Rhinolophus ferrumequinum: one gene and its partners. The protein of the gene in region 1 interacts with the protein of each later gene in a pairwise test. Links are inferred from orthologs where the notes say so. Each region holds a gene or a part of one and is shown on either strand. Other genes may lie near its edges.

Evidence for each region.
Region 2: the proteins of TOLLIP (region 1) and ODAM interact in a two-hybrid assay, tested with the Homo sapiens proteins (2 studies listed by BioGRID and IntAct). The two-hybrid records come from large-scale screens. The link is inferred for Rhinolophus ferrumequinum from reciprocal best matches to the Homo sapiens genes TOLLIP and ODAM.
Region 3: the proteins of TOLLIP (region 1) and TOM1L2 interact in binary tests that used the Homo sapiens proteins (3 or more experiments, as listed by UniProt). The link is inferred for Rhinolophus ferrumequinum from reciprocal best matches to the Homo sapiens genes TOLLIP and TOM1L2.
Region 4: the proteins of TOLLIP (region 1) and TOM1L1 interact in binary tests that used the Homo sapiens proteins (3 or more experiments, as listed by UniProt). The link is inferred for Rhinolophus ferrumequinum from reciprocal best matches to the Homo sapiens genes TOLLIP and TOM1L1.

The regions. Positions count from the first base shown.
Region 1 is NC_046294.1:836,204-843,378, forward strand, and holds the start of TOLLIP (toll-interacting protein), read right to left. Parts: upstream 3,005-7,175; 5' UTR 2,867-3,004; coding exon 2,834-2,866; intron 1-2,833. UniProt on the Homo sapiens protein: Component of the signaling pathway of IL-1 and Toll-like receptors. Inhibits cell activation by microbial products. Recruits IRAK1 to the IL-1 receptor complex. Inhibits IRAK1 phosphorylation and kinase activity.
Region 2 is NC_046288.1:28,148,254-28,156,163, reverse strand, and holds the start of ODAM (odontogenic ameloblast-associated protein), read right to left. Parts: upstream 3,010-7,910; 5' UTR 2,971-3,009; intron 2,182-2,970; exon of another isoform or gene 2,119-2,181; intron 1-2,118. UniProt on the Homo sapiens protein: Tooth-associated epithelia protein that probably plays a role in odontogenesis, the complex process that results in the initiation and generation of the tooth. May be incorporated in the enamel matrix at the end of mineralization process.
Region 3 is NC_046304.1:850,392-857,951, reverse strand, and holds the start of TOM1L2 (TOM1-like protein 2), read right to left. Parts: upstream 3,012-7,560; 5' UTR 2,888-3,011; coding exon 2,836-2,887; intron 1-2,835. UniProt on the Homo sapiens protein: Acts as a MYO6/Myosin VI adapter protein that targets myosin VI to endocytic structures. May also play a role in recruiting clathrin to endosomes. May regulate growth factor-induced mitogenic signaling.
Region 4 is NC_046304.1:30,011,064-30,018,085, reverse strand, and holds the start of TOM1L1 (TOM1-like protein 1), read left to right. Parts: upstream 1-4,015; 5' UTR 4,016-4,156; coding exon 4,157-4,214; intron 4,215-6,775; exon of another isoform or gene 6,776-6,997; intron 6,998-7,022. UniProt on the Homo sapiens protein: Probable adapter protein involved in signaling pathways. Interacts with the SH2 and SH3 domains of various signaling proteins when it is phosphorylated. May promote FYN activation, possibly by disrupting intramolecular SH3-dependent interactions.

The DNA of each region.
Region 1 (7,175 bases):
GGTTGTCATTAGAAAACTACGAGCATTGTTAAAAAGTGGGGCAAACAGCACAGGGCTGGGCCATCCTCAGACTATTAAGGGAAAACGTGACCCTGGAGATACAAACAGCACGTCTGCTGAACCTTAGGCAGAGAAGCCCATCAGCTGCTGCGGGGAGAAAGCAGGACAGAAGGCGTGAGGCCGGCTCAGCGTGGGCGGCACCTTTTCTCACACGCCATCTCACCCACCCCTCAGGCGCCCCACGGGCAGCAAGCATGGACAAGGGCCACCTCAGCCTCCCTCCCTGGTGACTCCCCTTTCTCACTCACAGTCCCACGGACTCTGCCTGTCACTCCTTTATCGCGGGAGCAGGAGTGGGAGGCAAGGTCAGGCTTCCGAGCCAGCCCCAGTGAGTGAGTCCAGGCTCTGGGCAGCCTGTGCCAGGGCTGACCCCATCCTGTTCAGGCAGGGACACGGCCCTAGGGCACAGGGCTCCCTCAGGACTGCTGCCCAGCCAGGACCCAGGGCAGTGAGCACAGCCAAATGCTACCTTTACCAGCACCAGCTGGTACTGCAGCTTCTTGACCCGTCTACCTGCACGGCACCCAGCATACAGGGACGCAGGGCCCAGACAGGATGGAGTCCATGCACCCTGGCTACCAGGGAGGTCTCCGCGAGGATGCGTGCCAGGCAAAAATGTTGTTAAAAAAAGTAACACTGTAGTGAGCAGATAAAACTCCAGAGCAAACCCATCTGCCAGCCCAGGCCTCCCATGTGGAACAGCGCCCGGCCCCGCCTGTCCCTCTCTCACAGTGGCACAGGCCCTGCCCTCAGGACCCTTCTTGGCCTTCCGCAGCCCGCCACACCCCACCTCGTCTAACAAGTCCTGCTCATTCCTGTCTCAGGTCCCTCCAAGAACTTTACCCACCCCAACTCCCGGCCCAGGACCGGCCACTGTTTATACCTAAGTTAAGACCCACAGAGCTGACGGCGACCATCCCCGCCGCGCTCGTCTGCCTGCTTATGCGTGCCAGTGGTTCCCCATGCCACACTGTAAGACCCCCCACCCCCTCCCTGGCAGGCACTGCACCTGCTCGTCCCAAATGTCATGATCAGCAACACTGGCTGAGTAAGTCACGTGTATTCCAGGGGCACTCAAGACCCTTGCCCCTGAGGACACCTTCCTGGAGGCCCCCAGCAGCCGGGCCCAGATCTAACGTTACTGTGTTTACAGGCCATGGAGAGCACCCCGAAAACATCTGCAGGTCTATGTGCGCTGCACACCAACACATGGACATAAGGCCACTCGCCTGTTACAGAGAACAGGCCGGGAAGCACGGTACACATGGCAAGAGGGACAGAACCTCTGACGGCCCAGGCCCCACGTGCGGGACGGGAACGCCCGACCCCGCAGCTGCTGTCCCGTGGTGCCAGCTGCCCCAGCTCTGTGCAGTCCCCGCGCCGACCGCTGCTCCGCACAGGGGGGCCGACCCTTACTGAGAGCGCACTTCTGGCCACTGCGCCCCGCACCGCACGTTCACACTCACCACCAGCGAGGTCCGCACCAGGTGGGTGAGGACACGGGACAGGTCAGGCCCCCTGCGCCCACTGCTCCCTGGGGGACGCGGAGAAGGGAGCGGCTCGTTTGGTTCCCTTGCTTCTCTGACCAGCCGGCTGTGCAGCAATGAGAACCGGCTGGCTGTCAGCCCGCCGTAAGTCACTGTGGAGGGAGGACGGGGAGAGGGGAACCGTCCCTCTGCTCAAAGGCAGAGGGAATCCGGAAACCTCTCTGCCGCCTGGGGGCCGGTTCCAGAGAAACCCGGTGTGTGTGTCACGTCCAACGCAAAGCCCTCAGGACTTCTAACAGAACCTGGGTCTTCGTCACTCAGAAAAGATACTCTCTGGAAAAGATTCTCCTCTAGTCAGGACAACCGCCACCAGCGTTTGTCAACATCCCGTCCTAGGGCCGAGGGGCAGGCGCGGGCGACTGGGCTTTACAGGCAGAGCGACTGAGTGAGGGCAACGGTGGCATCACGGGACAACGTTCCCCACGTAAAGGGAACGTCTGTCTACTGCACATTTTGAGCCGCTGCCCATAAAAACTTCCCGGCGCGTGACAACGCGCCCCCACCCCGCCTGCCAGAGCTGCGCGCGGCCCCGTCCCAGGGCGCGTCTACACCGGCTCTCCAGGGCAGCGCGCGGGCCGTGGAGACCGACGGGAGCCCCGGAGACAGCGCGGGTGGGAAGGGCCGCCCGCGGTCCTGAGCTCCCGTCCTCTCGTTTGCAAAGGAAGGAACTGAGGCTGCGATAAGTGGCCACTTAGGGACACAGCTGGGCCCGGGGGCCTCCCTCTGCCCCCGCGAGGGAGGGGAAGCGGGCGGAGTCCGTGGCTCGGGGCCTCCTCCGTGGGGGACGGTCTAGGCCCGGGGCGGGGGCGCTCTCCATTTGGGGAACCGGCCCCGGCGAGGGTCCGTCCCCATCCGGGGACCCGCCCCTGGCGCAGGAGCCTCCTCCATCCGGGACCCACCAGGGCGCGGGGGCCGCTTCCATCCGGGGTACCGACTAGGACTTCGGGAGACTCCTGTGCCGGGGAGGCCACAGGGCGCAGGAGACGCCTCCGTTCGGCGGACCGGCCCTGGCGGGGCGTCCTCCACCCGAGGGACCTTCCGGGCCTGGGGGCTTCCTCCCTCCCGGGGGCCCACCCTGGTGAGGGCCTCCTGCACCGGGGGGCCGCACCCCGGAGCCCGGAGCCCGTGGTCGGGCCTCCCCGAGAGCCCCGGAGGCCACGGACGCGCACCGCCGCCCGCGCCCTGAGGGGAGAGCCCGCCCGCCCGCCGTCCGCCCGGGGTCTCACCGGCCCGCGCTGCGTGCTGACGGTGGTCGCCATGGTGCTGCGCCGGCCCGCGCCTCGCCCAACGAGAGCTGACGTGCCGGCGACCCTCCGCCGGAGCCTGCGACGCCGACGGTTGTCCCCAGCGAGGCCGCCGCCGCCGCCGCCACAGTCAGCTGACGGCCACCCCGCCCCGCGCCGCGCACTGCGCAGGCGCCGCGCAGCCCCGCCCCTTCCGGCGCCGCGCACGCACGCACGCGCCGTGCCGGCGGACGCCTGCGCAGTTGCTCCCCGCCGCGGCCGCCCGAAATGGCTCCGGAGTGCGCGGTGGGCATCCTAGGCGGTCCCGCGGCAGGTGCGCAGGCTGAGCGGCCCCCCGACCGCACGGACTGTGGGGTCTGCTGAGCGGGTCTCCTGGCGGCGCCGGGAAGCCTCAGTGGCCCTCCCCACCCTGGGCCTTCGGCTGGACCCGGGCGCAGGGACAGTAAACGCAACCAGCCCCAAATGAGCCTGTCCTGGTGCTAACAAGACACTGAGTTGCCTTTCAGGGACAGGAGACCAAACCGCAAGACGTGCCACCCAGGCGTGGGCAGAGGAGAGACCTTTGACCTCCAGCTGCACCCCGACAGATCTGAGTGGGACCTCCGGTGTCCTGCGAGCCGACTGAGCGTTCAGTCACTGCTCTTTCTCTTCGCAAAAGCCAGTGCCATGGTAGCGGCCCCTGTGTGAGTCGGGCAGCAAAGCTGTTACGTAACAACAGGGGGGCCTTACCCGGGAGTCATCAGGGAGGAGGGCCTGCTGCTGGGAGGGGGGGCCTGGGGGCGCCAGTGACCCTCCCTCCACCGAGGGCCTCTGGTCACGATGACAGACCACTGAGCGGGGCCAGGGGCAGCGCCAGGCTCTTGGAGGAGATTCTGTACCTTGGTATCAACGAGCAGAGAAGGAGGGTCCCGATACCAGCCACGGATGGACAGCCTCCTGCCAATGTGCAAGCCTCCCCGGTGAGGGGGATTGTGGATTGAGGGGCCAGAGAACGAAAGCCCTTGATTGACCCAAAATCCTCCGGGGGGAGGAGCACTTGCATGTATACTTTGTAAAAGTGGGAGTCAAGCTAAAGGAGAGGTGACTGTGGGCTGCCGTGCTTCACAGGCCTCGGGAAGATGGGTGTTCAGGGCAGGAGAAACAAGGCCCCGTGCACGACCTTATCTTCATGGGTGATGTCGTCTAAGTCTTTAGTGAAGCAAGGACTGAAGCGTTACCTACCAATGCCCCTTGTTAGGGGAAATGACCGAAAAAACAGAAGCTATGTCTGCAGCTTCTCCATCTTCTGTACTTGTGATGAGGCCCAGGTTGACGATCGTAGCTTCCTTCTTCCACCACTCGTTCCAGGTTCCCCTCCGTAGAGACTTATTTTCCATCAGAGAAGGAAGTGCAAAAGGCCTGCCTTCTGCTGGTCCTTCTGTTTTGTTGAACATAAGCAGTTTCACAAAACATCAGAGCAGTCGGGGCCACTGTGACCACAGTGCATCAATACAAAGCCATGATGGCTCCTTGGTCATGTGTGAACACAGACGACATGACAGCCTCCACGCCAAAAGACTAACATCTCCTTTCCTGGCTGGTATGGCTGTTGCTGCTTACCAACTCCAGCTTGAGCCTTCCCCTAGTCTTCCCTCCTAGGTAAGAATGAAGAAGGCTACCCCTGCTTCTGACAGCACCTGATCCAGAGCAGAACCCTGCTTGCTCAAAGCTCCCCCATAATCACTGACAGAAGCCCAGATCCTTTCTAATGCCCTCTGACACGTCACCCTGTGCTTCCCTGCGGTGTGTGCTGTCCTTTGCTGCAATGAGTGACAGTCCCACCCTGTTGAGTTACAGGTGTGTTCCCGGTGGTCTGACGGGACAGCATTGACACACCCAAGGCTTGAATTGTCCTTTTCCTCTGTGTCCACTTCCCAGAGTCTTCTGAAGTAAACAGCCCACGGCACAATCTGTGTCATCACCATTTTGCCAAAGCAGCTCAGTGTCTCAGCCTCTTGACCTCCCATCTGTCCGCCCTCCACATGCGCCACGTCCCAGGCCACCGCTGGAGATCATTTGAGGGATTGGGATACCACTGCATGACACAGATCCCCAGGGCTCGACTTCCCTCTGGCAAGGATTTTATCCACATGCTCATCAAATATATAAGCAACCCAATTCTAGAATCCTATTAGGAGAGTCGGTTTCTGGGGACACTTATGGTGGCAATTACTGTATCAGTCAGGGTCCCAGCAAGAAACAGATGGCATGCTCAGAAAGATAATTGGAGGAATTTTAATAAACGGACTGTTTATAAGGGAAGGGCAGAGTTAAGTGAACAAGCAAGACACTGAAGCGTGGAGGAAATTTGAGCTTCAGGAAGCCACTACCACTCCTGGTCTTAAAAGGACAGAGAGGCAGCAGTAGCCAGGAAAAGGCATCCTGGGCTGACGTGTGGGCCATGCAGAGGGAGGAGGCCACCTGCCAAACCGCAGGCTTGCAGGTGGGGTCTGAGGAAGAGGCATTCCGACCTGTCTCCTCCTACAGTGTCTCCCCTGAACACAGCCCAGTGGTGCAGCCTGTAGACGTCAGCTCCTCGGGGCACAGAGAGAGGCAGAGAAAGGTGGAGCGTGGACCTGGGAGGGAGGGCAAATGGAGACACTTCTGCACATGCATCTAGTTACCAGCAATAACCAAAGGATTCAGTTTTGTAAAATACCATTGAAAAGAGCAACGAAAGAATAGAAGGGACACAAAACTTCTTAAAAAGTGAGCAAAAGTGTTAACGTTATAAAACGTTATTGAAGGAGACCTGAATAAAATGAGAACTACATACCGTATTCATGGACAGGACGTCTCAGATCTGTCACTTCTCCCCCAAATTGTCCTACAGAAGAAATTTTCATTAAAACTCCAAAAGGGTTTTTCGAAGAAATTTAACAAGCTGATTCTGAAATGAATGCGAAAGAACAAAACAATAACTGACACATTCTAGAAGGAGGAGGAGGAGATGGAAAGGAACTGTCGTAGGAGAAATAAAAATGTCTTATGAGACTACAGTAATTGAGACTGATACTGACATGGGGATAGACAAATTTACCAGTGAGATGAAATACAGATACTTGATTTATGAGGGTGCTGGCACTGCCGAGCAGTTGGGACAGGAATTACTTTCAATCAATGGGCTAAAACAATTGGCTACACTTACAGAAAAACTTAAATCAGACCCCTACCTTAACACCAAACAAAAAAGCAATTTCTGATGGAATTGATCCAATCAATACTTGATGAATTCAATAATCTATGCCATGTTTGGAAAGGATACAGCCAAGAAAAGCTGTCACCGCCCTCTCTGATCTGTTGAGAAGCACTGAGCAGGAGTTGAGGAGTTGGGAGGTAACAGGTATGATGACGAGAGCCGCTCGGTGAGCCAAGCGCAGGATAAAGGTGTTCTACATACCAGGGCGACCTGACACTCGGGGCACTGACCAAATATCCCTGAGAAAGGCAGAGGGAGCTGGTGAGAAAATGGGAGTTAGGTGGGCCAGAGAAGGGGGTTTCAAACCTAGAGTGGGCGTTGGGGCCACCGCAAGGTGTAACAATGAGCCGACACCACGGAGCTTTGAGGACGAACCGTATGGCCACAGAGCTGGGCAGAGAAGACACGTTTGGCAGGAGAATTAAAGAAGAAACAATGCTGGAGGCCAGGGGTCCAGCCCAGTGTATTTCTGCTGAGAGTCGACTATAAAGGGAACCCTAACTTCAACACTGGTTCCTCCAACTCATTGCCTACATTCTCTGAGACCCGGTGCCAACATTCAGACACCCAACCCTGTGTGTCACCTGAGTGATGTCACCACTTGTGCAGTCATCACCGAGTCCAGTCCATTTCCACGTTGTTATGGGAGTCCCACTGCCCTCACCCTTCCTGTGTCTGGGCTCCAGCTCATAATGGCACAGGCCAGTGGTCACGGAGCACCCTACGCACCCAGAGCCCTGGATGGGCATTCTGTGCACCTGTTACTTGGGGTCCTTGAATAATAGTTGACATGAGCCACATGTCTGAGTGCTTCATCTTGCCGGGTGTCATTGTAAGTGCTTTACACATACTGTGTCATTTAAGTCACACTACTATCCAATGGCAGCCGAGCTTCTGTTGCCTACGTTAGAGACGGAGGTAACAGAGGGGAAGGGTGAAACACTTACCACGTCTAACACCAGGTAATCGGTACCCACGACATAAACGCTTCCCACAAGTCACGAGGAAAGAGGAAACCAGACAGACGAGTGAACAGATGTTTAAGTTGGCGATTCAAACAGGGAAGCCCAAAGTTTGACAGGTATA
Region 2 (7,910 bases), on another chromosome or scaffold:
ATTAAAATGCAGATGACTCAAATGTATTTTTCCCATAATGCTACTAATGCTTTTTTCTAAAATTTTTCCATCCATATTGTTTTCCAGTGGGAGACAGTAAACTGCATTGGCATAACACCATTCTAGCTTTGTGATGTATTTCCTATGTGACTTCAAGTGAGCTACCTAAACTTTCCAAGCCCTCATTTTCTGATCTGTAAAATAAGACTTGTAATATCTGCTTTGTGGGCTATTGTGAGAATTAAGACACATTCTAGGAAGTACTTTATTGTAGTCTGATATATAATGGATACTCATTAAATAGAAGTTGTAACCATCATTATTATTAACGTTGCAAATATTTCCACTTAATTCATTTCAACACCTAGCACTCAATTTTCATAACAGGTAATCAGTTCAGTGTCCAGTCACAGCCTTCCTTTGAATTTCAAGTCCTGTAACTGTCATTGATGTATCAGCACATTTTTTGAGCTCCTCTGATCTAATGATAGCCTTGATGCTATCGGTTCTTTATGATTTCTAATTACAATTTCACTCTTGAAACATCACCAACTACTTGAGGGTTCCCATTCACAAATATATATATATATATTTCCCATTCACAAATATATATATATATATATATATATCCTCAGTGTCCATGAGCTATGTATAGAACCAGTCAACATTACAAACTGTATGACTCTGTGTATAAATGGGGTGATGATAGAATAAATATCATTAGATTGTCTTGATAAGAATAAGCTACAGGTAACAGGCCAAGAGATCTCTAAATGAAATAATGCTCAAGCACGATGTGTGTATGAGTGTGTGTGTGTGTGTGTGTGAGTGTGTGTGTGTGTTTACGTGAGCAAGAGAGAGAAAATATATTGTTGGTGATGTGGTATTGTTGAAAGATTAAGTGTTTCTTCCTATCCTGCTTGTTTTTGGAAAATTGTTAACATAGAATTAGTAAAATGTAAAGATTAATGTAATACAAAGTCAGAGACTTGAACACATGAGTCTTACCAGTTCCCGGTGAATCTGATTACCTTTGGGTGTTTTACCTAAATTAGTCTGTAGTTAACTACGGGAGCTAAAATTTTATCTTAAGTGACAGTCACAACTGATTGTATGTAGTTTCTTAGGATGTTGCCCTAAGATAGATTTTAAGGTTAAATCAATTGGTAACCCCTTCAGTGGCACATGATGGGTCCCATGACATGATAAAACTGCCTGTCAGCCATAAAGGTTAGGCGGTTACCAACACATGCAGGATCAGCTTGTGCATCACCACATGGGGGCGCTCTCTTCATCAGATATATATTTTTTTAGTGTTTTGTTTTTCCTTTAGTGTAATTCTTTTTTGCTAATAGAAAATATAAACTGTAATTTACCATGCTACGTTAAAAATTTTCGAAACACACTGGATCCATGCCATACAAAAGACATTCCAAATAACTGAAAGGCTACAGATACTAGGGCTAAGGGACAAATTAAATGGATGGATTTGTGGTTATGGTGCTCACTGGTAATCATAAATGTGGATGCATACCTGGTACTTTGTAAGTAAAATATGGAGGTGTAAAAATAAAAGTATTCAAATTGCTTCTGTCAGAACAGCGCTATAACTGTTGAAACCTAATTATGAGATCAAATGTGTGATGTACAGGTGCCATTTGTTTGGTTCTTACTATTTATTTAGTAATGCCAATACATAGGACCATATGAAAGCAAGGCAACATAGTGGTATCTCTGCATTGAGAATCAGTTAAAACCTACCGATGATGTTTTTTAATGTGGCAAGCTTTCAGGATGCTAAATGCTAGAAGAAATTCAGTGCCAGCTCAGAAGCTTACAAATTAATCCCTCAAGCCCCATGTCAACATTAGGAGGTATATTCAGCTTCTGTAAGAATTCCACTTAGAAGGGCATAGACTAAGGTCATTTATGGCAATAAAGGACAAAGTCACCTGAAGCATATATACCAGGAATTAAAGTTTAGTACAAGGAAAATAAATATGATGACAGAAATCAATAAAGACATTTACAGACAAGAACAGAGACACGTTGTTTGCCAGCCAGAGAAAAGCCAAAGGAAACAAAGGCACAAGGAAATGTCAATAGAACTGAACTCACCCCCAATTAAGCCAGTGGCTTGTTCAAAGTGTCTCGTGGACAATGATGATATTTGGTTCTCTAAAGTTTAAATGGAAAGACCAGAGGCCAGTCACCTGTGTACACACTTAAAGGCATGATTAAACAGTATTCTTGTCAGTTGTTTATGTGGTTTGGCAATTTCAAGGGCCAGATTTTTTTTTTTAATCCGAGTTCTGCTTATCACCCGCTCACTGATGCCAGAACTCTACCCCAAACAGTGCAATTTGATTTTTATTAGAATTTTTTGAACTCCATTCAAATGCAGGCTTTTTTAGAGTTTTCAGCTCTGTTTAAATGCTTAAACATTTACCTACTGAATAAGTGCTGAGGACTTAGAATCTCGGAAGGTTAGAAATGGAAGTGCAGGTTACCCTCAGACAGGAGAAGTAGCTGGAAAAGCTGACTTATATTAAGGTATCTTTGAGAGACGAGTTTTAGCTAAGAATAGAATAGGAAGAGAATGACCATATATTGGGGTAAAGAGGAACAAGTTTATGAGTCTGGGGGCACTGAAGATATTTGCCCATTTTATAATTATGCCTGAAGGTGGTATCATTAAAAATTGTCCTTTGTGTATTGTCATTTTCTTGACTCCTCAGATTCCTGCAGTTAAAGAATAGCTCTCCAGGGATAAGCAAAATGTCATTCTAAATTAGACAAATATATGCTAAGTATTCATATTACTGTGTCTAGATTTGTAATTTGAGATGTCTGGAGGGTCTGTAGGTAATCTCAGGGAAACAATTGAGATAATTCAATGTCTGGGAAATTGATTTCTGCATACGTCGGACAATTAAGTTCGTGAACTCATCCTACAAAAATGCTACATACCTCATTGCTGAATATCACTGTGGTCACCTTTGAAGTACTCCCCTTGGGAAGCTATGCACCGACGCCAGCACCTAGTCAATCCTTCAAAGCAATTTTGGAACTCTTTTTCTGGAATGGCCATCAGAGCTGTCTTCGTATTACCCTTGATGTCCTGAATATCATCAAAACGTCTTCCTTTCAATATTTCCTTTACCTTCGGGTAAAGAAAGAAGTCATTGGGGGTCAGATCAGGTGAGTAGGGAGGGAGTTCCAATACAGTTATTTCTTTACTGGCTCAAAACTCCCTCACAAACAGTGCCGTGTGAGCTGGTGCATTGTCGTGATGCAAGAGCCATGAATTGTTGGCTAAAAGTTCAGGTTGTCTAACTTTGTCACGTAGCCTTTTCATCATTTCCAAGTAGTAAACTTTGTTAACCATCCTGTTGGTACAAATTCATAATGACTAATCCCTCTGATATCAAAAAAGGTTAGCAACGACGTTGCAACAAGTTCGTGAACTTAATTGTCAGAGCTTGTATGAAGGACTGAGATCATTTGGTCTTCATAAAATAGGACTACTGAGTACCATAAATATTTAAAATTATATCACACAAAGTTTAAGTGGTGGTTTGTACCTCTTCCCCATATCACTCTCTTTCAGACTTTCAGGGCTTCAAGTCTGAAAGCTGGTTTTAAGATTTTTCTAGAGTAGCCATTGGAGGCTTTGTTTTGTTTCTTCAGGAGGAATTTGTGATAGAAATAAAGCTTAGAGTGAGGCTGCAGAAATTGAAATTAGATAATACAAAGAACTTTTAATGTGAAAATTCCTTTGTACCTATGAGAACTCAAATCAATTGAAAAGAGATGGATTTGCAGATATTATATTTGAATCCCTTCATGTGCATCATTCTGCTTTTCTGTTGCGTTTGTCAGAGTGAGTCAACTCCTTTCCATAATGATGATTTTAGCCACAATTATGACCTACCACTCACAGTCTTTCCTCTGTGCTTTGCTATCAGGCACCATTCAGATACCTACAGGAAGACTTTCACCTAATTTTACTGTAGTTCCTCCCCCACCATTGTGTCACTTCTACTATGAGTTTATTTTCTCTCTCCAATCTGCCCTAAACATTTCTATAGCTATAATACTAGCACATATAGTCCTGCCATTTTTTTGTATATCAGCTTATGTTATGATTTCCTACTGTCTAAAACTACGCAATAAACTCTTAGAGGTGATACCTTTTTAGTCTCTGTATATTATATATTTGATGGGTAGCATATGTTCAATCATCATCTGATGAATAGTTGATTAAGTAAAACTTTTGATTGTCTTATTATGTAAAATGACATTCAAAACAGATATTTTTGTTATTGTTTTTCAACTTTTCTAGACTTTACTTCCAGGAATTCAACTGTCAACTGTAAAATGATCGAGCCCAGGAGGAATGCTCAATATATACTTGAAAATCTGTCATAGCTTTATCTCCAGTTTTCAATACTCACATAATGTTTTGTTCTGCTTCTTTGTCTACCTGACATTTCTAATTGGATGGTCTTCTGTCACATTTAGCATTTCAAAACTGACATAACCAAATTGTCTTCTTTATTTATTTTTTCCCTCTTAATAAAAGAAACCAAAACTCCACATAACAAACAATAATTGGTTGTCTTCTTATAATTTGCCTATTTTCTTTCCACTTTCGTTTGGTAAAAAAGATCTAGAAACACTGAATTCCTCTTTTCTTCTTTTCCACTCTTGGTCTGTCTTATCTAATTAGTCATGAAATCTTATTTAATTTTTTTCTAAATGTCTTTTTTCCCCACGGTTTTTTTTTTTTTTTTTTAATTTGTATTGTTAGTAACCAAGACTTTCTAACCAGTTCCTTGTTTCAGGCTTTTCTCTTTCTAATACAGAACACACATTGTCTCTATATTATTATTACAAAAATAATACTTTAATTGCATCCTTTCCCGATCAAAAAATTCTTAATGCTTGCACAATGGGCCCTGTTCAATTCCTCATTATATACTGTGTATAATCTATATTCTCAGGCTACTGAAATGTAGATCATTTTTTCAGAGTGTCCTTTAAAATGCCTGTAATCCTTTTCAATTTATCAACATTTGGCCATAGATAGGCTCCTTTTTTTAAAACTTTCAAAAAATGTACATGCTTATTTTTGAGTAAATGGTCTTTCATAGAATTTGGAGGATATAACTTTATGTGCATAAATGAATGAAATTGTTTTTCTAGGCAGTAATTAAATAAATGTTTCATGTCTTGTTTTTCCATGATATAAAGGTCAGTGCACCCAACCCTGTGTGCCCTTTAGAATCATCTAGGGAATATGCAAAATGCTGCTATGCAGACCCAACCCATCAATTACATTAAAATTTTCTGTGGGACTTAAAACAGTTTTTTTTAAAAAGGTATTTAAGTTGTTCACACATGCAGGGTTGATGGTGAGATTGGCTAATATTTAACAGCTATCAAAATGCCTATTCTTGATATTAGGGAGAATACTTTGTGATACTTGGCAGCTATATACTGTTGAATGCAAGTAACCTATTTTTATTAAATATTTGTTCATTTACCAAACATTTTTAATGTAACTTCTGTGTGTCAGGCTCTGCTACTGGATGATTTAAATATAAAGCAACTGGGCAACAGTAAGAGTAGCTTACGTACATGAGTAGCAAGTGCTTTGTATATATTGTGTCTTTCCATAGATTGATATTATTATGTCTGTTTTGCAGAATGTGAAAGTCTGTCTTAGAGAGGTTGAGTTAAATGCCTAATGTCATGAAGCTAATAGTTGTTCCAGCCAGGACTAAGACCTAGGATTCAATCTTTCTGTGTCTAGAACTCCGCCTATTAAGTAGTACTGTCTAAGGACAACCCAGCCTATTAAGTAATACTCTCTATTATTTCTGATTCTAAGCAATAAAAATAAATAAACTTGTTAACAAATTACACAGGTATTCCTTGGCGGCAGTTATGGCAGTGGATTCATCTTTGTTTCCCAATTTTCTAACAGCATGCCTGGACTCAAGCAAATGTTCAGTAGTTTGTTGAGCTCAAGTGAACCTGAGAAGGTACTAATGGCTGGCAATGGGATAATGTGTTATCTCTTAAGGGCTAGTTGGCCTTTAACAGGAAATCTATAGAGAAATATTGTAACATAATCCCTGATAATTGGGTTTTCTCTCTTTTTTTGTAATAATATAAATGCCTGACTTATACTTTGATTGCCAAGGCATCCATTTCAAAGATGGCTATCTCAAACAAACACATTACCAGCCACATGACTACATAAAAAGGCAGGCAACCACCCCCCAATTCCTTTGTTTTAGAGATTTCATAACTGACCAATTGAGCTGCTTGTTTTTTTCTCTTCTTGCACTTTAAATTCCTATTCTTATTTTCAAAATTTAATAATACTGAGCCCATGAAACCCTAGGCCCCCACCCTGGACCCTAATAAAAGCAGAACCCTAGGTCGGTCTCTCTCTCTCTCTCTCTCTCTCTCTCTCTCTCTCTCTCTCTCTCTTTCTCTTTCTCTTTATCTCTCTCTTTCTCTCTCTCTCCCTCACTCCCCCTTCCTTTCCCCCAGGGACCTTGCTGTGTGACCCCTGCTGTGCCATGTAATTTCCAGGACTTCTACATGATAAACCTCTTTTTTTCAAAGTTTCATTATGGTTATGGCGGAGGGCCTCTTGCCACCATACTAAGAATCACAAAGGCCAGTTCAGCCACAACATTATGGTCAATGATAAGTTGAGACCGGTACCCAACAAATGTCTTAACACAAATGAAGTTCTAATAATGGGATTTTGCACATCATAGCAAGTGTATGAGAAATTGGGACTCATAGTAGATCTTCTTAAGTTTGATGTAAGCATTGGAAGCTAGCAACAGGCCAGGTCATGCAAGCTACATCTAACTTTCTTTAACTGGAAATCTTTTACACAAAGTGCCATCATACTCCTTCTGAAAAACAGAAATGTTTTAAAGCTATCATACAATTCAACTAATCTCCAAAATTTACTCCTATGTTTATTAAGAGCGGTATGGATATGAGTAAAGATATGGATAATTGAATGATGTGGTGGGGACATTTAGGATATAATGGATCCACTTGAGTGTACAAAAGAAAAAAGTTACAGCTGATGAGACAGTGATCGAGTTCCTTCATGACACTACAATTATCTCAAAAATACTGCCAATACTATCTGGAAGTTTATAGGTATCAAATGATATCTATATAGGTATTTTTTCAAACTTTACTTTTGGATGATTATTCATTTTATTTTTCAGTGAACTATTGACAAGAACCACTATGTATAAAATAGAGTATGAAGCATTGTTGTCTATTGTTTACTGGCAAATATCTCATTTTTTAAACATCCATCTGGTTATCATTAATTTAGTCCAACTATTTGATCAGAGCCTGATTCTTCTCTCGACATTACCTTTGATTGTACTTGAGTCATGCCAAGGATGAAGAACTTCTTCTAAGCCAAGCCATTTTATTTTAAGACTGTCCTAATTGTTAAACTCTTCCCACATATTGAGTCAACATGTCCTGGTAAGGATTTGTTACATGAAAAATGTAATGCATCTTCCCATGAAGATGTAGAGATCTTTCAGATATGTGCAACCAGCAATCATGTTCCCTTAGCAATACTTTTCTTTTACAGATTAAGTCTCCTACTTTCTGCATCTATTCTTCACATGGTATAATTTGTAATGCCTTCAAGTTCCAGGTTGTTTTCTCATAACTCTTGCTTTTAGAGCTCAGTAAATTTTAACCTGTCACAATCATTTCACACCTTCATCTTGCATTTCCTAATGGAAATGTCTCCCAACAAATGTTTGGAAACAAAGCAAGGACTTTTATTTCCTGGTTTATCTGCATGAAGGAAGAGGGTCTAGACTTCCATTAGCTACAGAGCA
Region 3 (7,560 bases), on another chromosome or scaffold:
AGACTAAAAGCTGAAGTTAGCTGAAGAATATGGTCTTTGATGTCACCCACCCAGGGCTTCATACCCTACTTGCCACTGTTCCCCGCAATCACTTCTGTCCACTCCGAGTCGTGCCTCCATGTGCTCACACTCCCCTCCCTGCCTCGTTCACCTGTCCCCAGGCACAGGGTCTGCTCCTCTGTGTCTGGAATTCCCACCCATCGTCATGACCAGCCCTCAGACTCAAAGACACCTGCCCTATCACCCAGCCCTTCTGAGTCCTTTTTCGACTCCTCCCAGCACCAACAAGTCCTGAGCACCTAACTAACCACGGTGCAGCCCTCTGTTAGTGCAATGTAGCGCTGTCCTCTCTCCTGCTGCCGGAAATCCCTTGAGCACCAGGACAGCTATGAAATTCCAGCTCTCTCTCTTACCAGCTGAGCAGTCACGTCACTCCTCTGAGCCTCAGTTTCCTCATTTCTAATGTGGGAAGACAATAAAATGTCTTCCCAGAGCAGCTGCAATGAGCAAAGAACGGCTGTAGAATTGCTTTGTGTAAACCATAGTCGCTGCTTTTAATCATTAGCTTTGTTGTTTCATTTCTGTATTCCCCTCCCTCCCATCAACCCCCTGGCACATACTTCTAAAAAACGTACTAACATTGCTAAGTGTCATGAAAATCACTTTTACACTTTGTCACAACAGTACAGAATATACATTAGAACTGAACTGAACTGTGAAATCTCCTAGGCCTTGCCAGTTGACTAACTGGCAATGAGGAGGCTCCATTCTCTTTATGGTCGTGTCGTGGACACTGGGGCCTAGGAGGGTACTTTGCTTCACAGGACGCAGACAGGCCAGTTGTCCCACGTATCCTCTCCAGATAGAAAATTCGATCCTAACTTAATTATTCTGTTATTAACAGCAACAGCTACAATTTATCGAGCTTCTACTATGTTAAGTATTTTATATCCATCATCTCACTTAAATCTCACTACTCTATGAGTACAAACCAATCTCTCTCTCTCTCTCTCTCTCTCTCTCTCTCAGCAAACTAAGGCTCAGAAGCATTACACAATTTTCTGGGATCCCACAGCCAACACATGCGCAAGGCAAAATTCAAAGGCCAGGACTTCCTAGCAGAAGCATCACGCGCTATGCTCTCACTACACACCCCTACATCCCTTATATTTATGTATTTTTAAGTCCCCTTTAACTTCTATCCTTCATCAACTACCTTGGCATTTCAAAGGTGTAGAGCTTCCTATTGTAAAGGATATAGAAAAGAAGGGGAAAAAATCCTCCCCATGCTTACTGGCTTCCTCCAATAGCAGGTTGGAATTCAACATCCAACTGAGAAATGAGTTTTAGGAATATGGCTGTAGTGAAAGAGCACCCGAGCAAAAGAAGTGAGAAAAAAAGATGGGTGAGACTCTAGAGAGACACAGTAGTTTGTGAAGGTGGGAAAAGACTCTCTCAGCACCCAGTGTCTGTCTACTCAAAGATCTTATAATAGAAAGAAAAGAAAGGTTCCCAAATACCAGTTAGCCAACAGGAGAGGTCTCAATAATTTCACAGGCCCCATTAAAGGCTGCAAAGTAAGCTGAAAGTTCTTAACTAGAGCAGGAAATAAACAAATCATTACTGCCTAAACCAGCCAGGCCCATAGGGACTCCAAAGGTCCCTGCTCATAAAAGACGTTCTACCAGTCCTTCCACCAACCAGGACCAACCCCGTTTTAAAAGAAACTCATCAACATTCTGGACTGATCACTTGGCGTAAGCTCCTGCCATGGGTGAAGAGGCAAGTTGCCATTTTAGTGCGGAAATCCCATATGGTGGCCACTCTGGTGTTCCTTCACCTGGCCTTGGGCTTTCCTTACCCAAGATACTGGTCACTTCTGCTGCCGTTTTCCAGGTGCCCTGACCCCCTCTATAGGATTAACAGGTACTGCCGAGTACCCCTTTCTCTACACTGCCACCAAAAGATTTCAGCTTTGGTGATTTCACACAGCAGGAAAGCCACAGTCATGAGTAGAGACTATTACCAGGAATACAAAACTTTAGAATTCGGAGGAACCTACTTCTATACCTCACCTCCAAACACCTCATTTGACAGACAGGGAAAGTGTCAAACCAGAAAGGGCAGTGACTCGCACAAGGTCATAGGGAGAGTCACTGGCGAAGCCCCTACTGGAGGCCCAGGCTTCCTGATTCCCTGTCCAGCGCTCTTATCCTTGAATAACATGGCCTCCCTTGTCCCCCAAGGCAGGGCAGGCACGCCATTCCCCCCGCGCGCCCCCCGCCCCCGCCAGGATCATCACCCTCTAGAAACCCCGCCCCCATCCCGGTCCCTCCCACAACCTAGCCGAGTTGCAGCTCTAATTAGCAAATCTTCCAGCAGGGAGCCTCCCCTGGGAGGGTGCCCAGTCCGAGCGCTACTAGTACTGAAACGGAGGGCCAAGGATGGAGGGAGAAAGGTCTGGAGGAACTGGTCCTGACGGCAGTGGCAGCGAGTTGAATAAGGGCGCACGCAGTGGCATTTCCCAGGAGGCGAGATGGTAGCCGACTAGCCAGCCGCTGGCACCACCTCTAAAGAGCCAGGAGGGGTTGGGCCCTGAGGGGTAAGGACGCGCGGAGCATCTCCGACTCCAAGTTGGGCCTTCGGGCGCTGCCTGGCAGGATGGCACCGGCTTCGTGAGCAGGCCCAGCCCTTCCGTGGGCAGAGGCCCGACGACAAGGATGCCCAGCCCGCCCGTGAGGTGGCACCGGTGCCCCGCAGAGGCCCGTGGTCTTCACCAGCCCCATCAGCCGCCGCCGTCGCCCACCCAGACGCCCGCCCTTCGCATCGCCTTACCGAGGCACTGCCCCACCGGGGTGCTGAACGGGTTCCCCAGGAGGAACTCCATCTTGGGCTGTGGACAACACGGCAGCGGCCCGGGAACCCTGTCAGCCGCCGGGGTCTCCGCTGTCCCCGGTTGCGCTCGCGACCTGACTGACACTCAACCCCCGGCCCCACCCTCAGGAACGCCGAACGCCCGGCCTCTGGCCCCGCCCCCTGTCGCGTCTCTATTGGGCAACGTTTGCCCAATCCACCTCCGATTGGTCCCTACACCTCCCCAGCGAAGCTCCACCTACCCCACGGCGTCCGATTGGGCGGAGGAGCGAGCTAGGTCGAAGGAATCTCCGTCAGGCGTAGCGGCACCTCCCTTGGCCCGCCTCCGAACGAGAGTCTGTGTATTTTGATTCATCTACATATTGGTCCCTCTAGAATCCCTACTATTATTGGAAAACAGATGCGTCAATCACTCAAGCAGGAGGCGGGAGAAAAGGCGGGGCTAGGAATATCCCCGCCCACAGAAAGTGTTGATTGGAGAAACATTTGTTTTCTCTCCTGCTGGTTGGTAGTAGGAGTATTGGCACACCCGGAAATGTTGTCACGTGACCCAACTTTCACCCAGGATGTCTACCTTTTAACTTCCCCTTAGCAACGAGTGGCGGCTCTTGGTTCCCCTAGCAACCGTTCAAAGCGTCTGCTGCGCGGAACCAGCCCGGTAACCTGCTCTTGAAAAGGTGAGACCCAGGAGCTGAAGCAAGGGCAGACAGCGCCCCGACTTAACTCTTTTCTCTGACTTTTCTCCGAGGAGTCCGACCCCGCCCTTCTCATCTGTAAAATGAACCCACAGGTCTTCTGCTAGTCACTTCGTAGCCTCGCTAAGACAATCAAAACACTGGTCCTGGGCTTTCAGGCATGTGGATGAGAAAGAAATGCTAAGGAAGCATTTCTTCAGTGGGCAGGACTCGAAGAGATTTTTATTGGGTTCCATCCCCCAGGCTTCTGGCCTGATCCCTTTCATAGAAAGAAAGGTACCCGAAAGAAAGGTCCACTGATAACTTCTTCAAGAATTTAACCCTTATATCCGACTTCTTAACTGTCATTAGATTATTTCTCTTATTTTTATTCTTCATCTGCGTCTCATTTAAAGTGCTTTGGTTGGGAATATGGATACCTGAGTTCCATGTCTGTCTTGTCAGTTGCTTGTCGCATGACTTTGGACAATTTCCTTCCTCTCCTGGGTCTCAGTTTTCCTATCTGGGAAATTAGGGCATTAGGATTCTCCTGTCTAGGATTATGTGGCTTCCAGAGCTGATGCACTTACCATGTTTCCCCAAAAATGAGACCTAGCCGGGCCATCAGCTCTAATGCGTCTTTTGGAGCAAAAATTAATATAAGACCTGGTCTTATATAATATGATATAATATAAGAGCAGATATAATATATTCTAGATATAATATATTCTATTCTATAGAATAGAATAGAATAGAATAGAATACTAGGTCTTATATTAAGTTTTGCTCCAAACGACGCAAGAGCTGATTGTCTGGCTAGGTCTTATTTTCGGGGAAACACGTTAGTACACAGTAAACACTCAACAAACCACAGGGGCCAATTGGTTTTCTTCTCCGCAATTCATGGCCAGTAGGGGCTATATTTTTCAGATCCAGTTGATTCCAGATTGTTTCTTTCCAGGACAATTCTGGATCTGTTTCTCCGTGAGAAGGCTACTGCACGGACCGTGGTGCATTCCCCACCTCCTATCTGTGGTCTTCACCAGCTGAACTGTCATCAGGCAAGTCAACAGGAACTCAGGGTGGGTGGTAAATTACTGACAAAAATCCCCCTCGGGAAGGATTTTCAGACCTTGGCCCTGACCCAGAACAGCTATGAGAAACATCGTGAGCTGTGACAGTGGTCTGTAGTGCCCTGGGTACAGCTAAGGCATGATTGAGAAAATGGCTCTGGAGTCATGTTCCCCTTCTCTGCCATATGCTAGATGTGTAAACTTGGGCATGTTACCTAACCGTTCTAACTGGATTCCACTTTCTTATCCGAAAGCTGTGGATGACTAGTCCTGCATATACATTAAGTTCCTAGAGATCCACATCTTACCACCACCCTGGTCATCTCTCATCTCATGACTCTTGCCATTCTCAGTAGTACAGACAGAATGAGTTTCTTAAAATTAAAATCTGATCGTCAGTTCCCTTATTAAGCTCCAGGAACTTCCCAGGAATCCTAGGATAATAAGACAACTTCTGTAGTCCTCTCCAACCTTGCATCACTTCAGCCAAAGTGAAACATGTCTTGTTCTCTCCCACCTCAGGGCCTTCATTGCGCAGTTTGCTCTCCCTTCTTTCCTACTCGCCCTTCAGATCTCAGCCCTGTTGCCCCTGGCCAGGCCAGGTGCCCCTTATGTGTGCTGTCACAGTTCCCTACACTTACAAACTTGCCATGGTTTGTAATTAAATACTTGTATGATTATCTGGTTCATGTCTGAAAGAGAGGTAAGGAGATCTGTCTGCTGGAGTCACAACATGTAGTAGCTATTCATTACGTATGTGGACTAAATAAATGATCTTAAACAAATGTAGGAGGGAGGAATGGTTCATCTTTTATGGATGGGAAATCCAAGACTTAGACAGGGGAGGTGAGTTGCCAAAGGATGCACAGTCAGGATCAAATCCTGCTCTTGTGTGCACAACAGCTGTTCCACGTTGCAGCGATTGTGGGCTAGACTGAAAGCAAGCTTGATCTGCCAGAGGTGCCAGGCCATGATGATCTGGGAGGGATGAGAAGTCAGTTAACTGAATTTTGAAATAAAAACTAAAAATCATTTCCCAAAATATAGCACCTTTCTCTGAAAAAGCACAAATACTTTGCAGGTAACATCTGCCACATATAGCACATTAAAATCCCCTAAAGGCAACATGATGTCAAATTATGGGAAATCTTAGAAAAATTTGTTTCAGAAGAGCGGGGAGATGTAGAGAGGCAAGGACTTGAAACATCTTGGCGGGGGAAGGTGCGTGCTGGACCAATCACCCTAAGGAGATGGAGCCATGTTGACAGATTGTTGAGAATGGGAAGGTGGAAGGTGCAGGTGGAGATGGGACATGGGGTGGGGTTGTAGGGATCAGGTAGTAGGCTTAGGGGAGGCTGTGCCCCCTCTGGGGGTAGAAGGAAATGTGCGTGAGCTCTAAAAGCACAGGGACATTTGATCATGAGCACTCCAGAAATTAAAGATGCATATTTGCATAAGCTGCATTCACGTGGACGGTGGGGGAGGCGGGAGGGAGGCAGCTGGGTAGTGGCAGGCGCTAAGACCAGGTGCTGTCAGGCAGGGTCTCTGGTCCTGCTCCCTGCACAAGAACACAGGATATGGTGAGGCCAAAAAGGAACACCCATGGAGCTATAGATAGGGGAGTCATACCACTATATTCTCGATGGTGGCTGGTCGAGACACAAAAGCAAACATCCGCCTGTACCCCAACAAGGGGTCCTCCTGCACCCCAGTCTCGCTGGCGGCCGGGCGAGATACAGGAAGTAGGATCCACATGATCCGCAATCCACCGTCCACTTCTCTGCCAACCAGCCAACTAACAAGAATAGCCACAGCAGTTATATCAGTGGCCAATGGCTAACTGGTTACAGCTGACGGCCAACTAGTCATAGCTGATGACCATCTGCTACCCGAGCCGGCACCTGTCCACGTGAGGCCGAGAGCCTGGAAACTGCTCTCTGGGACTCTGTCCACACAGGTGGCAAGATTGTGGTGGACACCATCAGCCACCGGGAGTCTCTCCAAGAAGCACTTAGTGGTTAACGGACAGAGTGCAGGGGCTGCCCAGCCTCAGGACTAGCAGGGCAGAGAGGACAGGAGGTTCAGGGAGGCCTGGATATGGGGGACACGTGCAGACAAAGGTGGAAGGTGAAGCCAGCGGGAAGGGGAGAAGCAAGGGTGGAAAGTAGAAGGGAGGACTGAGTTTCCAGAGGGTTCTGGAGGCAGAATCTGGAAGCTATCTGTAAGCTGACAGGAGAGTGCCTTCCTGTAGGGCCAGCCCTTCTGGATGTTCTTGCTAGGTGGGTTGGTGATGAGAGCGAGGGTGGGCACCCTGAGTCCCCAGGGCTGTGGCTCTGTCCAGCCAGGAACAGCGTCCCAGTGCCAGCCTCAAAGTAGAACTAACCAAATCCACAGCTGTCGCCTCTGCCTGCAGTACCTCAGCCAAGTCCCTTTGACCGTTAGCAACAGAAACCTGCTGGAATTAGTTTAAGTAAAGGAGGATTTAATGCAAGAAGTCAGGAAACTCTCCCAGAAAGGGCCACAGAAACCCTCACAAAGCCTGAAGTTAGGGACACTAGGGGCTGAAAAGCCAGCAAGAAGAAGGGAGCCTCTGTTTGTATCAGTCTGTCTATCCTTTGGTCTTCTGTTCCTGAATCACCCAGGTTCCCATCTCTGCTTCTCTCTGTCCATCTGCCTCATCCCCCTCTGACTCTCTCTGCTCAACCACGTGCCTGACCAGCCCACGGTCCCCCAGTTCCTCTCCATCTCAAGCGGCCAGCTCTGATGGGTATTCTCATCCTGCGGCCCCAAGCTCACATTTCTCAGGGGGAGCACATGAATAACCAACTTGAATTGGTATCCACCTACACACTGAGCAGCGTGTGGGGTGGGGTGGGGTGGGGTGGGGGGAGGACAGACATGATTGCCTGGAACGGAGGAAGAGTAGCTGCAGCCTGTTT
Region 4 (7,022 bases), on another chromosome or scaffold:
TGGCCCTTGGGGTGCAGGTTGGGGAGAGAAGCCCTTTCACGTGAAGCTGATAGAGGTGATCCCAAGAGCAGGAAGACAGGGAAGGCTGAGCTTTGAAGTTCATTTCCAGAATCAGGAGTTGCCAAGATTTAATATATTAAAAAATAAGTGGAAATAAAGTCAACATTTGTCTTTGCACATAATGGTTTTAAAAAATAATGGGCAAAATCATTGTATAAAAGAGGGTCAATTTTAAAGATAAATAATATGTCTTTAGATGCACAGGGTCTTGGTTGTTTGGGAAAATCCAAGCTTCAGTCCAATTTCATCCCTAAACAGTATTAAGGCTTATGCCATTTAAGAACTGATGGATTGAGCACTGTCCATAGAGGAAGGAGAGAGATAAAGAACACAGAGGAATCCGGAACTGACTGGAAGGAAAGAGTTGGGTATAACTTCAAAATTTTTTATTTGGGAAATTGTGGTACCATTAGCCCGTTCAAAGACCTTTAAAGATCTTGATGCCCTTGGTGCATCCCAGGCTCATTAAATCAGAATCTCTGAGGGTGGGACTGAAGCATCAGTAGTCTTTACAGCATCCCCTGTGATTCCAATATATCAATAATCACGCCCACCAAAACAAGTCAGGTAGGATATTGAGATCATAGAGGAAGGAGATGAGTATAGTAAGTGTAGCTATGTCGAGGTCAAGGTTCCAACAGGGCATCCAGGAGGGAATTAAGAACTGGAGCTCAAGATTTTGGAGAGCCATGCATGCATTCAATAAGCATCCCTTACGGCCTGTTAAGTGCCTGGATACCAAGTCTAACGAATAGGGTCCTATTTCCTTGAGAGGCTTCTATCTAGGAGGCAGCAAACAGATTGCTAAACAAAGAAGTAGAATAATGCGTTGTGAGTTCTAAGAAAGAAATCTATATGGAGGACAAGAGAGGAGGGCTCAGTTCTCTTGGGAGTCTTCAGAAGAGGTGTCATAAAGAAGGGCCAACAGGCAGGTCCCTGAGGAAAATGGAAAAAGAGGAAAAGTTAGACTGTGGACCCGTGGGGTGGCTTACTTAGGTTTAGCAGGCTAGGGAGTAAAATTAAGCCAGGTGAAGATCATGAGAAGTAGCAGTCAGAAAATAGGGTATAGGGTAGTCATAATATAGGATAGAAAAGTGACGGAGGCAAGAATGGCTCATAGGAGCGACATCACATACTACAGAAAGGGAAAATAAATAAGGCTGAGGAATGACTGATAGATGTGATGATCATATCACTATGAAAATTAATAATGGGGCAGCTGGGGTACAAAGTGGGTGGCATTTGGAACTGGAACCAACGGAAAAAGTAAAGGATAAGGAGAGGGCTAGAGGAAATACTGTGGGGAAAGTTGGGGGAGCACACTGAAATATTAAAAAAGAGAGGAGATGCCTGTAGTGGTAAAAGTTTGGGACTTAGGGTTAAGCCACTGGGTTGCATCCTTCTAGCCTGGAGCTGGAAGGCCTTGGGCTAGTCACTTCCCTTCTTTGGCTGTCATTTGTTTCATCTATAAGATGAAGGGGATAGAGACTATGATTTCTAAGGTCATATCCAGATCTGACAGTCTAAGAAATTTAGTGGTAAGAACAGAGTTAAATGAGAGAATGAAAAAGAGTCTTCACTGTGTCAAGCCTGAGGATGGGTCAACTTTGTCCTGCAGACGGGTACTTGCCTTGTTCAGTCGCCTCGTTTTCAGGTACATGACCTAGAACCCATTTATTGAAAAGAGTGAACTAGTCAAGGGCTCTACCCATGAGAGTTGCATATTATAAAGGGTAAAGTCACAGTTTCTGGAGTCAGACTTTCTTTGGATTTTCTAATCTGTAAAACTAGTTTCATAGAGTTATTACAGGATTAAAGGAGACACTGCATGTAGTGTATTTAGAACATACCTAGCATATAGTTCTAGAACAGAAAATATTAGCATTCTTGAACAAGTACAAAAGGAATAGCAGAACCCTGTCCCAGCAACATATCTGTCTGCCCCTATTCCTATCTTCTTCAGGCAGTCTCACTTTGAATCAAACAGATCTTTTTAAACAATGAGATGTCATGCTCACTGAGTAGATTCACCTACTGGCAATAATAGAGACTTCAGTATTAGGCAGCCATGATTCAAACTCTATCCAAACTATTTATAAGCTTTATTTTTCTTAATCTCAGATTACATATTTGCAAAAATGAGGTGAATGCTACCTGCCTCCAGGATTGTGACGACTACATTTAGATTTCCACTTCCGGCACTTAGTGTATTTTAAATGAAGGTTCTTTTCTTTGCTTCCAACTAGCATTATGACTTACATATAAATAAACGCTTAGTAAGTGTTCTTGGAATTGAAATTGTGGTGAAATTTTGCTCCTGGTATCCAGAAATTGAACCCTTGTTTCTTTCTGGAAGTCTGTCCCTTCTGTCCTCTTAACTTGGCTATGAATTCTACTGTCCCATTGTCAGACCAGATTAACATTGACTGAGTTGCTTTTCACCCATGGGGAGTAAGGGAATCGTGGAGAAAGTGGCAGAGCATGGACAGTGAAGGCTGTGGCCACCACAACACCCTTGCGGGAACCTGGGGAGAGAAAAGCTTCTCCTCAGGCATAGCTGAGATAGAACACAGATAGTACTCTTTAACCTGGTTCTGTTTACCCAGCCATAAGGTCCTAACTACGCTCCCGGGTGTCCTTTCTCCTGTTCTCAGTGCCTCAATCCCAGAACACCAGAAAATAAAAGCCAAAACAACCTCTCACATCAGAAGTATCAGTTTGTTACAAGTCTTTCTGGATGATTGGTTCCTTCGTAATTCTTATTCGCTGATGAAAGTCCACGGACACCAACCAGCAGCCCTAAAAAAACGCTCAAATTGACTTTCTCTTTAACGTTGCTTGATTGATGGGCTTCAGCGAAGACAAAATATTTTGCTAGAGTCTATGACGTGGAATAGAGATTAGGTTGATGATGTCACAAAGAGGTTTTCAACAATGTCAGCAGAGGCTGTCGTCATGACCAAGGAAGTTGATAAATGGCACCTTCTGAAAGAGCTACTCACCCTGGAATAGCAGGCGGAGAGAATAGTTACAGGTAGGACCAACCCTATTATGAGAAATAACATCACAACAAAAATAGTTCATTCTAGGTTTTAGACTCTCAAGTCACTTAGGTCGAGAAAAATTAAAAATGACAGAATTAGAGAAAAAAAAAGTCGCTTAGCCCCTTGACATGCATGGCAATTGGTTTTGACTTCTATTCTAAAATATGTAAGACTCAGGACATAAGTCAGACCAATCCTCTTTGATCTCTCGTCATCATTTCCAAGGCCAAAGAAGGGCGGTGGAACCAGGCCCAAGTTGACAGCAGGAAGCAAGATCAGGAGGCACAGGGGATCCAATACTTAGCGGCGCCATGTGGTCCCTCAGGAACAGGAGAGCGGCAAAGGACGCCGGCTCCTGAGAGGGCCCCCCCCCAAATCCAAATACATTCCCTCTGCCCATCCATCACCTGCAGCTTTAAAGGGCAAGGAGCACACCTCCCCTCCCGGATCTCCCCGCAAAGGTGGGGGTGGAAGTAAATATTTCTAGTTACTCGATTCATTCAGTGGTTAAATATTTATTTTGTGGGTGCCAGACACGGACCTAAGCGGTTTACGTCCCTAATTCTCACAATAATCCTGAGATCTGTGTTATTAATACCATATTTCTTTCTCTACAATGGGGAACAACAGGCGCAGAGAAAAGCAGCAATTTGCCCAGTAGGCGGCGGAATCAGAGCTGAGATCTCTAATTCCCAGGCTGTGGTTCCGGGGCCCCTAGCTCCGCCCGGGCGAGAAGTCCACCTGGGTCCCGAGCTCGCTCCCTGCGCCCCTCCCGCGGGCTCCACCAGGGGGCCGCCGCTCGCTCATCGCACCTGGAGTCGGGAGCGCAGCAGGTGCGCTGGGGTCCCGGAGCCCCGCCCCGCGGCCCCCGCGCCTGGCGCCCTACTCCAGGTGCCGGGCGCCCCGCAGCGGCCGGGCAAGACGCGCAGCCTCCGCCGGGAGGTCGGGAAGAGCTCGGGCGAAGAGGAGGAGCCAGGGACACCGAGCGGGTGGAGTCGGGAGCCCGAGAGCGGTGGAGGCGGATTTCCTGGGCCCGAATCTCTGGGGCTACCATGGCGTTTGGGAAGAGTCACCGGGATCCTTATGCAACCTCCGTGGGCCTCCTCATAGGTAAAGAGGCGCGGGGGAAGACTCCTGGGCAGGCTTTGGACATCGGGGTACCCTTCCCATTTGACTCCCTTGTCGGCCTGAGACGGACGGAGTTGGTCCAAGTTGGAGGAAATCCTTCCCCTCCCCCTGCAACTTTCCTAAGGCATCCGCATTCCACCCGGCCCCTTTGAGACATTTCTTTATGGCTGACCCTTTCTACTATCGCCCTCCTCAAAATCTACTTCCCTTTTAATGCCTCATGGGCAGTGGAACCGAACAGGTGAGCCACGCATGGGATTCAGGTGTGGAGTGTTTGGGCTTCTGCAAGGGGAGGGCATAGTTCTTGGCCAGGGTAAGGTTATAAGTAAAGTGCCCTCACTGGAGAGCACGTTACTGTTATGTCCGATGTACTGAGAAGGAAAAGAAGGGTCAAGGAGGTTAAGTGATGTGACCTCACGGTGAGAGGCAGGACACTTCAAACCGGTTCTCTCTGGCGCCCGGCCCTCACGACCTGAGTTACTTTTTCTGGGTAAACAAAGAGAATGCATATACAGGAAGGGGAAGAAGAGGAGCCATTTGGGGTCACCAGAGGCCTCTCAAAACACTAGGGACCACGCAGGTACCTGCTTAGCTCATTCTCCTGTGGCTGTACTCTGAATACCTAATGCAGAAGCCCGTGACGTTTACCAGCGCCAGCTCCGTCCTTTTTTGTTGTCCTTGATGCCCCCTTTGGGAACCTGGGGTGGCATCAGTGCATATTGATGCCACGCAAAGCATGATAATGTCAGGAACTTAGTGGGGTGAGGAAATTCCGAGAACCTGGTATGGTGAGGAGGCTCAGATTCGAAGCGTTTGGGCTACAGCCCAGTTATCTGCTGTGTGACATGGAACATACCCCTTACCCTGAACCTTAGTTCCCACGTCTTTTATGAAAGGGAGAATAACTCATTGAGGAGGAAATGCTTTCTAAACCGTTGCTGTCTCTATCCCCATTGGGTATTAAAATGAACCCTGAGCAGAAATGGATTCAAACTGCATCTTCACAGGCTGATTAAGTCTTTTTTTTTTTTAATTTTTATTGGGGAATACTGAGGAACAGTGTGTTTTTCCAGGACCCATCAGCTCCAAGTCAAGTCATTTTGTTTTGTTTTTTTTTTTCAGTCTAGTTGTGGAGGGCACAGCTCACTGGCCCACGTGGGAATCCAATCAGCAACATTGATGCTGTGAGCACTGCGCTGTAACCAACTGAGTCAATCGGTGGCCCCATGATTAATCCGCCCCATGATTAATTCTTTAATGTTGCAAACATTTACTGACTGCTAGCTATATGCCTGGAGCTGGATGAAGCAAAGGTCACACCTGGTCTCAACCCTCAGGGAACGTGCAAACTTGTAGGGAAGATGGACACAATTTTGTAGTAACTGTAGTACAGTCCCTTTACAATGCAAGACAAATGTGAAACACCCAAAACTTGTGCAAAGGGAGAAATTAACTGCCAAGGCTTTTGAAGGGTGAATAGGAGTTTACTAGGAAGATGGGAAGGTGGGAGGAAATGCATGGAATGAAGAGCAAGGGCTCTGGCAGAAGGAATAATACTAGTACATACCTAAACGACACAGGTTTGGTTAGCTTTGTCCATTGAATGCCGAATTCAAATAGTTCTTTTTTCTAGATGGGAAGCAGTGTCCCCAACCAAACCTATATTCTCCGTTATCCTTTTTAATGTTCTTTTCATTCCCCCTAGGACCTGGTATTTTCATGCGGAGGAATCTTCTTGTGGGAAAAATGTTAAGCTCATTCAGGTTGAGTGTTCTGCTACCCTTCCCAGATAGCATTTTGTATTCTCAAGGAGGATGTCTGGAGAAGGAAAAATACCTGATTGTTAAATGATGGCGTTGTAGGTACAGGAGCTGCCTGGTGCAGCCAGCTTTGGTTTGTACAGGTGCTGAGGGTGACCTTGCTCAACTGCTAAAGGACACGGTTTCAGGAGTTCTGATCTCTTTTTTTCTCAGCACCTGCCTCCCCCAGGAGAATAAATGATTTTAAAATGTAATCAATAATGTTGTAAAGATGTTGTAGGGTATCCGATGGACACTTGTCTCGTTAGGGAGACCACCTCAGGGAAGATGTGGATGCCTAATTACTGCACTGTACACCTGAAGCTGAAGCTGAACAATAATGAATGTCAACTACAAGTTTATATATATATATATATGTATATTTACAAAAAGCAGAGTACAGCATTAGGAATAGAGACAGTGGAAATATAATGGCTGTGTGCAATGTCAGAGGGATAGTGGATGGGGGAGGGGGTTTAACACTTTGAGGGGTATAAATGATAAACGTCTAACTTTGTTTTGTGCACCTGAAACTAATAAAAAAATAAATAAATAAAAATAAATAAATTCTAAAACTGGCATGAAACAACTTAGATTTGAATGCTAGTTGGACCTTGTACTGGTTATGTAGCCTTGCATACTTTCCTTATCATGTCTGAACTTCTGTTCCATTATCTCCAACAGCAGGTTAAATGAAATTACATAAGATAAAATACTTAGCACTGTGCACTTCACCTTCTGGGTGGCTAGTCAATATGTATCCGTCTGTCTCTGAAAAGCAGGCAGGCAGATGGAGCTTTAGTCAACCTGTCCCCCATGTCCTAGCCTTGCAGCCAGGTGTTGTGCCTGCAGTTTTTATTAATAGGTCACTCATTACTGTCGCTACAACAGAACTGTGAACTTGGGTTCTGATTGATTCCTGAATTACTGAGGATTGCTCAGAGAAAAAAAATCTCTTGCCCTTTGGTAATATAAACTTAATGGTACTTGC